3 linked regions of the Pelodiscus sinensis genome follow. The protein of the gene in region 1 purifies or fractionates together with the protein of each later gene. This does not show direct contact. Links are inferred from orthologs where the notes say so. Each region holds a gene or a part of one and is shown in the gene's direction. Other genes may lie near its edges.

Region 1 (3,746 bases):
TCCCACGATAGCTTACTTTGCTTAAGAGCCTTTGGTGAGTGACCTTGTCAAAGGGTTTCTGGAAATCTCAATGCATTCCATCCACTGGATCCCCCTTGTGCACATGCTTGTTGACCCCATGAAAGAATTCTAGTGGATTGGTGAGTATGAGTGGGAGCTGCTTGGATGCCTTTTGCAAGGGGCAGGGTACACAAACCACAGGAAGGGTCAAAGAATGGTCAGGTGATTGGGGTTGCAGGTGACTCAAAAAAGAGGGTCCAAGTCCGGTCACAGAAAGAGCCACTGAAGCTAGTTGCTAAGGAAAAGTTCACCTTCAGTGCCCAGCCAAAAAGAGAACTGCAGAAGGTAAGACTAGGGTTCACGAAGGAGGGGTGGAGCAGCTGTGAAAGATCTGAATTTAAGAGGAGACAAGTTGGAAGCTAGGAAGGCTAGAATGTAAAAGCCAGTCCCCTTGAGGGCAGACTGTGAAATCCTGGATTTAGAGGAGCCAAAAGGAGCTCTTCTTAGAGGTGGATTGTGCTAAAAAACAGACAGCTGAGACCGAAGTATGAGTGGGATCTGCTTGAAGGCATGTGGTAAGGGGCTGGGCACAAGACCCGACAGGAATCAAACAGCACCAGGTGGAGCCCACCCACCCGCAGCTTGCAAAACTAAAAGGCAGCTGTGCCTAGAAGTGCGTCGAGACTCCAGGCCCCAGATTGTGGCTCTGTCCAATCAGCCTGGCCTGGGATGATCCCAAGCAGGTAAAAGTCCCAGCAGACAAAGCACTGCGGCTGGGGGCACAGGAGCCTGGCGGCCTGCGGGAGGGAGGAGGGGGGCGGCGCGGGCCACCCAGAGGACCAGGGAGGAGAACGCCGGCTGCCCGGGGGGAGGAGTCTCGTCGGGCGGGGCTCTGGGCGGCACGACCGAGGATAGGCGTGTGGGGGCGGGGCGCCGAGGGGGTGTGATGCGCCGAGGGAGGGGTCAAGTCGTTCCTTTGCATTCGCTCAGACAATGGGGGAAATGGAATGTCGGCACCGGAAGTGAATCCGTCCAGCCGCTTCACACATTCCTCCGCGTCGGAAGTGGCTGCGGCCTTGCCGTGGCCGGTCTCTAGGGCAGGGAGCGGGCCCTGGGCTGGGTTTGTCCAGACCTCCGTGCCCGGCTGGGGTTGGGGGGGTGAGGTGGAAGTTTTCCGAGCGTCCTGATAGGGTCAGGGACTCTTTTCCGGGGCGGAGGCGGAGGCGCACTGTGCTCTTCGCTTCCGCTAGAGGGCTTTTCTACGTACACGTAACTTCCGGCCGAGTCAGACTCAGGGAGGAGGAAAAAAAACACACACACACAACAAAACCCGACGGGGAGACACAAACAAACGGGAGGAGCCGCCGCGGCGGCGCTTGAGAGCCCGGCCCAGCCGGCGGCAGCGGGGCCCGTAGGATGCGCCCCAGCCCCCGGCTGTGACCCGCCCCCCGGGGAGCGGAGGCGAAGGAGCCCGAACCCCCCCCCCCCTCCCCCCCCGGGTCCGGCTGTTCCTGCGGAGCCGGTGCCCACCGCGGCCCCGAGCGCCGCCATGTCGGGGGGCGGCGGTGGCGGCGGGTCGCGCTACGCGGCGGAGTTCGTGCCCCCGCCCGAGTGCCCCGTGTTCGAGCCCAGCTGGGAGGAGTTCAGCGACCCGCTCGGCTTCATCGGCCGCATCCGCGGCCTGGCCGAGAAAACCGGCATCTGCAAGATCCGACCCCCCAAGGTACCGCACGGGGGAGGGGCAGGTCACGCCCAGGAGAAGGGGCTTGAGGTGACCCCGGGGTGCCGTTTCCTAGGCGCTTTCTCCCTAGTGGGTGTGAGGGGCCCTTCCTGCAGGCCGGGACTTCGCTCAGCCTCTGGAGGCGGCTCTCGGAGCTCGGCTTCGTGAGGCCGGGAGATGCCACAGACGCGGCCGTGGCTTAATCCGACATCTGGGTGCCTGACAGCGCCACAGGGGATATTTGGGAGCTTCTTTCGCCGCTGTGTCGGGTGTAAAGAGCACATGAAGTAAGAGCGTTTGATAACGATGCAAAACTGTTCTCCTTCCTCTCCGCCCCGAAAAAAAAAAACCATGGCTGAGGTTTAAAGCCCTTCCGGTTATGTCGCCCTTTTCGGGTAGCAGATCAGTAAACCATGGTGTCTTTGTCAGGGACACGCAGTTTGTATGTTTATCTTGAACCTAAAAAACTATGGCTGCATTAATACTGGTGAATAAATGTGCTCGGTTGCTGATCTGTTACTTTGTAACATACTGTTCGTTTGGATCTTAAATTTGCCAACATGGTTCATATGAAAACTAGTTCGTTCTTTTTGGGGAAGAAGGATTTTCCATTCTGATACCACTCTACTTAAATATAATTTTCTGAGTATTATAAGAATTGTCAATGATCTGTTTGCAACAGGAAAATTGGTATTTGTGTGTTTTTTTTTAAAAAAAAGGCTCGAAATTAGGTTAGAATAGCCAGACTCTGCCTGCAGCATTATTTTATGACAATTTGTCCTGCAGTCTAGAGGCTTCTGGTAAATACAGCAGTTTCTCAGTAGAATGTACTTCAAACAACTTCAAATTAAAACACAATTTTTAGGTGCAGACAAGAATAAATCAACTTTAAAATAGAAATAGTGAATATGAAAGATTGAAGTGGTTGAGAAAGGAGAGGAGAACCCACGAAGGTGTGGCAGTGAAGGTTGTAGAAACTGTTGCTTACATTTTGTGTTCCTCAGGCTTTTTTCCTTCTGTTCTGCGAGTTGCTGGAATCTGCTTAGTTGGCTTTGTAATATGGTGAAAGCTTGACCTCCGAGAAGTTACCTTTTCTAAAATAAGCAGATTACTTTTGCTTGATTGTGGAATCCAAAAGGCTGAAGAAACCATTCAAGATTCTGGCCAGAAAAAACAGCTTGGGATTTCTTTGCAACTGAACTCTTGGTTTTGCCTTTGTATGATTGATTAGCAGGTTACGTTGCAAGTTGGTCTGGTTGTTTAAAATCCGCAGCATCAATTAGATGAAACACTTTACTGTAACTTTACTTATTCATTATTCCTCTTGTTTATTTGAAATTGTAAATATTTTACAGTTCTGATTGGGGCTTTTAAGTGCTACTGCAATAAAAATAATGAACAATTTTAGTGTCAGTTTATCATCATTTTATTTTAGATAGGCTGTGTAACTTCTTAAATCTTTTTTTAAAAGTACTAGAAGACTTATCTTGCTCCCTTGAAGTTAACAACTAATTTGAGTAACAAAATTGGGTTGCATAGTGTGTTTGTGTGCCAGTTTTACATTTTGGCTTGAGATGCTCTAAGACCCCATTTCTGAGGGTTACATTTCTTATGCTTGTATTCTTATCTCTAGTACATGTCTTGCTCCCTTCATGTCCATATGTGCCAGCAACCTTGGCTCAAGTGCTGTGGTTTATTTGAAATTAATAAATTTATTAGTTAGATTTTGAAATATCTGGGGCTTTACAGGCCTTTTATAAAAGCACTACAATATGGTAATTTTGCCATATGGTTCTCTCCATGAAAACCTCTTATGCTCTAACTTAATGTAAGGGTAATATCAATCTAAATATTTTAAGCTATGATATTTTTACTTTCATGGGCTCTCTATTGAGGCATCTTAATAGTTTTTCCTTACTCCTAACACAAGTATTGGGGAGAAGCTCATTAATTATGAAATTTCCATGCTTTTCTGAAATGGAAAATTCTCAGGTTAGAATACTTAACAAGAAAAAATCTTTGATTT
Region 2 (3,746 bases), on another chromosome or scaffold:
CGCCCCACCCCCCTCGGGAGACGGAGGCTGGGTGCCGGGGGGCCCATGCCAGGGCCAGGCGCCCCACCCCCCTCGGGAGACGGAGGCTGGGTGCCAGGGGGGCCCATGCCAGGGCCAGGCGCCCCACCCCCCTCGGGCGATGGAGGCTGGGTGCCAGGGGGGCCCATGCCAGGGCCAGGCGCCCCACCCCCCTCGGGAGACGGAGGCTGGGTGCCAGGGGCGCCCATGCCAGGGCCAGGCGCCCCACCCCCCTCGGGAGACGGACGCTGGGTGCCGGGGGGCCCATGCCAGGGCCAGGCGCCCCACCCCCCTCGGGAGACGGAGGCTGGGTGCCAGGGGGGCCCATGCCAGGGCCAGGCGCCCCACCCCCCTCGGGAGACGGAGGCTGGGTGCCGGGGGGCCCATGCCAGGGCCAGGCGCCCCACCCCCCTCGGGAGACGGAGGCTGGGTGCCGGGGGGCCCATGCCAGGGCCAGGCGCCCCACCCCCCTCGGGAGACGGAGGCTGGGTGCCGGGGGGCCCATGCCAGGGCCAGGCGCCCCACCCCCCTCGGGAGACGGAGGCTGGGTGCCAGGGGGGCCCATGCCAGGGCCAGGCGCCCCACCCCCCTCGGGCGACGGAGGCTGGGTGCCAGGGGGGCCCATGCCAGGGCCAGGCGCCCCACCCCCCTCGGGAGACGGAGGCTGGGTGCCAGGGGCGCCCATGCCAGGGCCAGGCGCCCCACCCCCCTCGGGAGACGGAGGCTGGGTGCCGGGGGGCCCATGCCAGGGCCAGGCGCCCCACCCCCTCGGGAGACGGAGGCTGGGTGCCAGGGGGGCCCATGCCCGGGCCAGGCGGGAGCCCAGCTGATGCGCTGCCTGGGGGCTGGCTGCCCCTGTGCAGCGCCGAGCACAGCGCCCGCCCGGCCTTTGCGGAGCGCGCCCCCTGTCGGCGCAGCCCAGCCACCACCGCTGCGCCGAGCTGGCCCAACAGAAGGATTTACGCATGTGCACGGAATGCCTAAACAGTCTCAACTGCGCTTGCGCAGGGGGGAATAGCGCTTGGGGAGGGGGGGGGCTTCCTGCCCGGGCCGCTCACTGCGTGTGCGCAGGGGTTTAGGCTGGAAGCCGGGAGAATCCGGTCTGCGCCTGCGCGGGAATGGCGTCACACTGCATCGCGCCTGGGCGGCTCGGAGGCGCCTCTGCCACCTCGGAGGCGCCTGCGCGGTGGTGTCCGGCCCCGGCGCGTCTGCGCCTGCGCGTGGGGCGGCGAGATTCCGGAGCCCGATCCGCGCCTGCGCGCCGGTGTTCTGGCCCGGCCGGGCGGCGCCTGCGCGGCCGAGGTGTCCGGGCCCGGCCGGGCTGCGCCTGCGCGGGCTGCGCGCTGGCGGGGCCCTAAGCCGCGGCGCTCCTGTGTGTGAGAGGCGGAGGGAGCCGAGCCCGGAGCCCTGCGCAGGCCCAGCCCGTCCCCCCCCCGGCATGGCAGCGGCCGCGGGGCCCCCCGCAGCCTCCCCCGGGCCCGGCAGGCGGAGGGCGGGGAAGCCGCAGCGGCCCGTGGGCTAGGCCGAGCGCCCCCCCCCCCCCCCCGGGCCAGGCCTCCGCGCGCCCGCTCGCGCCGCCGCTGGCCTGAGGCGCCGCCCGCCCCGCCGCGCGCGCCACGAGCCGCCGCGGCCCCGCTGAGGGGCCGGGCCCCCCCCGCCCGGGCCGGCTGCATGTGGGGCAAGATGGAGGCCAAGACGATCGTGTACGACCTGGACACCTCCGGGGGGCTGATGGAGGTGAGGGGGCGGGGGGCGCGCCGGGGGGGGCCGGGCGGGGGGGGTGCGGCCCAGCCCCTCACGGCCCCTCTCTGCGCGCAGCAAATCCAGGCGCTGCTGGCGCCCCCCAAGAGCGAGGAGGGCGAGAAGCGGAGCCGGCGGCCCGAGAAGGAGGCGCGGCGCAGCGGCCGGGCCACCAACCACGACAGCTGCGATAGCTGCAAGGAAGGCGGGGACCTGCTGTGCTGCGACCACTGCCCGGCCGCCTTCCACCTCCAGTGCTGGTAAGGCCGCCGCGCTGCCGGCCGGGCGGGGGGCTGCCTCTCGGACGGGCCGGACATTGCGTGAGCGCCTCGCCGCCGGGAATAATGGAGGCTGCTGCCTCTCGCACTGTTTACAATATGGCGACCTTCCTTTAAATTATATTTTTATTCTCAGCGCCATTTTGGCTGCCTATAGGGCTTGCCGAGCCTGGCACCGTTACTGGAGTATTGTTGCGTACGGATGGATCGGCCCAGCGTGGATCCAGGGCTCTGAACTTGAAAACTGACACCCCCCCTCCCCTTTAGTCCCTTTTCCTTCCTCCTGCCTTGTAGGAGTGACCAATGCGAATTCAGGGACCGCTTGCCTGGAGTTTTGTGCTCTTGTTGCTAATCCTCTGTGGTTGTCTGGAATTGTGTGCGTTAGAGCATAGCGGTAAGAAGCTCTCCCTTATAGGAGGCAGGGGTGGGGGGAATAACCCTCTGTGTTTCTTAAGCCTTACAGGCTAATAACAAAAAAGCAAATCAGCAGAGTCAGGAGCTGTCTGAACTTCAGTTTCTGTCCTGAGAAGTTATTTCTTGTTTCTGTGTGGGGGAACCCAGGTGCATCGAAAGCAAATTTGCTTACATCTGTTCAGCAATTGACTCAGACTGGTGGTTCTTGTGAAATTCAAACAGCCGAAGTGACTAATGGGATGGGGGAGGGAGCAGGGCAAGCCGGAGCACTGGTGTTCTGGGGAATAGATAGTCTTCCTTGGAGAGAGATTTTTAACCACGTTCCTTATTGTCTTTCCTGCCTCCGATCTTTACTTGCTGCTGTGCTACAATTGTTTCCTTGTGACTTGAGGTGAATGGTTCTACTTTTTTATATGCTAATTGTAGGTCTTAAGAGACTTATTACAGTGATTACTGATTCTGGGGAAATTAACTGTGTAGTCAGGTTCTGTAAGGAGTGCCCTGTTGCCATTTTGTAGACCAGTCTACCCAGGACAGGAAGCTCTATTTTTAATTATCCATTATATCATCATTTGTATCTGGAAGAAGTTCCCCTGGTAGTTTTATTATATAGAGCACTTAAAACCTGCTAGAGCACCTTGGGCTTTTGGTTGTCTGTTTATTAATTAGACAAGGTGGGTGAGGTAATCTTTTATTGGGTCAACTTCTCTTGGTGAGAGACAAACTTTGGAGCTTACAAAGAGCTGTTGTTTGATAGGATTGTTATGTAAAATATGGCTTAGAAGTTGAGCACAAAAAAAGATAATGTTGTAATTTAGGGTACTGTTGATATAAATAGAACCTGACAAAGTTGAGTGACGTGTCTAAAAATGTTAACCCTCCATACAGTTTTGAGTCTCGTTTGTTGAAGCAGGATAGTTGCTAGAAACATTGACGGGGGCGGGGGCAGGAGGGAAAATGGTTCACATAGTTTCTCACCTACGTAAAACCTGGTCTCTGAGTGAATCAGTTGAGTCTGAACCCTACATTGATCATAACAGTCCACGTCCATTACATAGTCACAGAGAAATTATCTAATGCACATACTTCATGACATAATTTGTCACAAGCTTCAAGTTTTTTAATCTGTATTGGGAAACCATAGTAACTTTATTCAATTTAGAGACTTTAGTGAGGTGACCTCTTTCCCACAACTGACAGGACTAAACTACACCCCCAACTGTTTAACTACGATTTTCATGACTTGCATACAGGGCCTTATCCTGCAAGCCCTTTCTCACCTAAGTAGTACCATTG
Region 3 (3,746 bases), on another chromosome or scaffold:
TGGTTTGGTGGTTGGTACTGTACTCAAACTGCTATACATTCATAGTTCAAGCACAGAATTTATATCTATTGAGATTCTAAGGTACTATTTGATTCATTTAAGAGTTTTACTTTATTTGATGCTATTGCTTTCTTTCACATTTAGTACCACGAGTACAACCTATTTTCTCATTCCTTTATATTTTCCTGGATAGCATCACCCCATCCCACTGATCATCCTCATGCCGCTAATTTTTCATGAGGACTACGATATCCATATCCTCATTTAATGTCAAGCACTCTAGCTCACCCATATTAATATTTAGACTTCCAGTACTCACATATAACTTGAACATGCTGTCAATATTCAGAGGCAGCCCCCATGCAGTATATTTAAATAGAACTCTTATGTTGGACTGTTTTTCACTATCTCCCACCTGTACTTCACCAATTTCTTTCTTCTTTACCAGGACTTGTACTTCTCCCTTTAGTAATTTCATCCCATTCATGAGTAGTACACTGTTCACAATCTTCTTAATTGGACATTCAAGGTCTCACTTTTTCGCCTATAGTGATAGAAATGTAGACAAATGTGATTTGTCCTTTTCATGTGTGTTCATGTTTTTAACTGTATCCTTTGGTATCTATGGTTGTGACTATTTTCTTCCACTATTTGATCTGAGGAAGTGGGTCTGGCCCACGAAAGCTCCTCACCTAATAAACCATCTTGTTAGTGTGTAAAGTGCTACATAGTCCTGCATTTTTTCCTCCTACGGCATTCAAATGATCTTCTTGCTGCCTTCCCCGTCCCTTGACCAGTGTGACTCGCTTGGTGCCTTGTCCACGGGCCCGACGCTGACCGGTCCCTGCGGTAGCTACTTGGCAATCACCGCCCGGCGGCGGCTCCTTTCGGCCACTTCCGCCGACTCTGCCCCGCTCGCTCGGGATCCGCAGCGCTGGTAGCGTCCTACCCCGCGGGCAGTGAGGACGAGCGGCAGCTGTCCAGGCAGGGCACGAGGATTGTCGCTGTCAGGCTGCCCCACTCGAGGGCGGAGCCAGCAGCCGGCACGCACCGGAAGCTACCTCAGGCGGCAAACCAGCGCGGGCCGCGGAACAAGTCGTCGCGCGAAACACGCGCGCGCGCGCCGTCCCTGCGAACCCTGGCCCCGCCTCCTCTTGAGCGGCCCGTGCGCGCGCGCGCGGTGACGCAAGACGCTCGCAGCGTGCTGATGCGGAGGGGGAGTCTCTACCCGGTGCCCGACTCCCATCATGGCGGCGGGGGGAGGCGGCGGCGGCGGCCGGGGGGGCAGTGGCCCCAGATGGGGCGGGGGCCGGGCCGCCGCGCAGGAGAAACTGCCAGTGCACGTGAGTGCGGGGTTCTCCCCCAGCCCCGCCCCGGCCCATTCCACAAGAGGTAGCCCCGGGCCTGCCGCGACCCCTGGCGCCCCTCCCCCCGGGCCCCGCCCGCGCTGCATCCAGGCTAACCCCTGCGCTCTCCCACACAGCGCCCCTCCCCTCGGGGAGAATACCCCGCATGGCCCCTCTTCCTCCCCCCGCACTTCACCCAGGATAGCCCCTGTGTCCACTCAAGCGCCCCCCCGCCCCCCCTTGGGCCTGACCTCCCTCCCTCTTCGGCGAGCCTCCACTAGGGATGTGACAAGGTAACTGTCGCCTGGGAGCTTGCAGCAGACTGCTCCACCCCAGGCTGCCGCCTCCGCCTGAGCTTGGACCCTTTGGAGCCAGGCTGGAGGAGTCCCCTGCCTGGGACCCCACTTACTCAGTAAATCAGTTAAATCTAACTTTTAACCGATCCAGTGGGGTTTTACATCCCTAACCCCCATCTCTCTGCAAGCCCATTAATCTTCCCCGTGGGCCCTCAGACTATAAGTGGCCTTGCATTCTGCCCTCCACCTTGGCTCAGTCCCAACTACCTCCCGCTCCCCTGCAGGTGGAGGATGCACTTTCCTACCTGGACCAGGTGAAGATTCGGTTTGGCAGTGATCCTGCCACCTACAATGGCTTCTTAGAGATCATGAAGGAGTTCAAGAGCCAGAGGTAAGGTGAATTCCAACCCATCCAGTAGCCACTGCTATAGTGCTCTTCCTCTCAGATATCCCATTTTGCTCTAGCATATTCCCCTGCTCCTAGTACTTTTCTTAGAGAACCCCAGACCATAGTGCCAGCACCCAACTTTAGAACCCCCCCCACTGTTCATCCCCACACAAAATATCGTGCAGTACTCCCCTGCCTCCGTGCTCATTTTCAGCATACCATTAGCGGAATCTGATCCTCAGACCTTCCAAGCTCATGCAAGAAGCATGTTTCCTCAGTTCTATTAGATTATTGAAGAGTTAAATTCCAGATGGAAAAGGGTCCATTTTCCCTTACCACAGAGGGTCCAAAATCCCCTTCTAAAGCGCCCATATCAACACCAAAACCAACAAGGAATCTGGTGGCTCTTTAAATTCATTAGGGTATTAGAGCATAAGCTCTGTTATGCTCTGTCAGGGCTATTCCCCGCTCTGGCACTCTGAGTACAGAAGATGGGGGCTCTCAAGGGACTTTAAATACCTGCCTCTATAAGCTCTGCTTACAAAAACTCCCCCGTCACAGATTTACTGACTTTGTGGGGTAACTGACACCATAAAGTGATTTAACTCTGAAAAAACAGGAAGGAATACTTGAATTCTTTCCCCAGGAGTACCCTTAGCTCTTTTGCCATAAGAGAGCTTGAGAAAAGAAGCAAAAAGTACAGAAAAAGAAACAGTGATGATTCTCTGTTGTGTTCTATCCCTCTGGGGCATCTGGTATTAGCTACTGTTGGTAAACAGGATACTGGGCTACATGGACATTTGGTCTGACTCAGTATGGCTGTCCTTATGTTCTTATGATAGCTGACCTCCAAGCCTGGGCACACATGCATAGAGCTGCTGTTATCTTCCAGGACACACAAATCAAATCATCTCTTTAAAAAAGATGATTTTATTAACAAATGCAAAGATATACTTGATAAAGCATACTTGGTTGCTAGGTGTTACGGAGCAACTAAGAAAACATATAAAAAACACAAAGAATCATAGTTCTTCAGGCAGTAATTTAAATGGTGAGTGTGGGAGGGAAGGCATAGATTCACACAAGTTTAACTAAACAGCCAAAATTAAAAAAAAAAACTGATTACAACTAAATACATATTTTCCCTCTACTTATGATCTGTGCTGATCTGCGCTTCCAGGCCCAGTTCACTCCTATGTCCAATATTTTTTTTATAGGCATGGTAATTCTAATTATTGCATCTACTTTCTCCAAACCTAACCTAGAATTTTCCCACAAAGAGAGCAGAGGCAAGATATCTAAATACAATTCAAATGTTAGCACTGTATCCCCTTTGGTTCTTCTGGCCTCCTGCCAACAACCTTGCTAGTTACCTGAGCTTAACCGCTTAATCTCAGGTGCTGGCCAGCACTCCTATCCATCACATGCCCTAATATCTTAATAAATGTGTTAGTCTTTAAAATGCCACTGGACTCCTTGTTTTTGTTGAAACAGACTAGCATGGCTACCCCTCTGAAATATATCAACACCATTCATCAGCCCTAATTTCAGGTAGACAATAAGTCTTGTATATCTCAGCTCACTCACTCAGGGAATCAGAACCTAAAAAGGGGGTGAAAAAGCGAGATTTTGTAGCACCCAAAACACCAGATGTATAGGGAAGAACATCCCCTTCAGCTAATCCACATCCTCAAGTCTCTGTCTTGTCCCATAAAC

What was found.
Region 2: the proteins of KDM5A (region 1) and PHF12 purify together in Homo sapiens (affinity purification with mass spectrometry; 3 studies listed by BioGRID and IntAct, with this or other methods). This does not show direct contact. The link is inferred for Pelodiscus sinensis from reciprocal best matches to the Homo sapiens genes KDM5A and PHF12.
Region 3: the proteins of KDM5A (region 1) and SIN3B purify together in Homo sapiens (affinity purification with mass spectrometry; 4 studies listed by BioGRID and IntAct, with this or other methods). This does not show direct contact. The link is inferred for Pelodiscus sinensis from reciprocal best matches to the Homo sapiens genes KDM5A and SIN3B.

Annotation. Positions count from the first base shown.
Region 1 is NC_134711.1:107,709,359-107,713,104, reverse strand, and holds the start of KDM5A (lysine-specific demethylase 5A), read left to right. Parts: upstream 1-1,461; 5' UTR 1,462-1,549; coding exon 1,550-1,723; intron 1,724-1,754; exon of another isoform or gene 1,755-2,007; intron 2,008-3,746. UniProt on the Homo sapiens protein: Histone demethylase that specifically demethylates 'Lys-4' of histone H3, thereby playing a central role in histone code. Does not demethylate histone H3 'Lys-9', H3 'Lys-27', H3 'Lys-36', H3 'Lys-79' or H4 'Lys-20'.
Region 2 is NC_134731.1:1,838,000-1,841,745, reverse strand, and holds the start of PHF12 (PHD finger protein 12), read left to right. Parts: upstream 1-1,290; 5' UTR 1,291-1,689; coding exon 1,690-1,755; intron 1,756-1,836; coding exon 1,837-2,018; intron 2,019-3,746.
Region 3 is NC_134729.1:30,806,458-30,810,203, reverse strand, and holds the start of SIN3B (paired amphipathic helix protein Sin3b), read left to right. Parts: upstream 1-1,186; 5' UTR 1,187-1,247; coding exon 1,248-1,343; intron 1,344-1,373; exon of another isoform or gene 1,374-1,392; intron 1,393-1,926; coding exon 1,927-2,033; intron 2,034-3,746.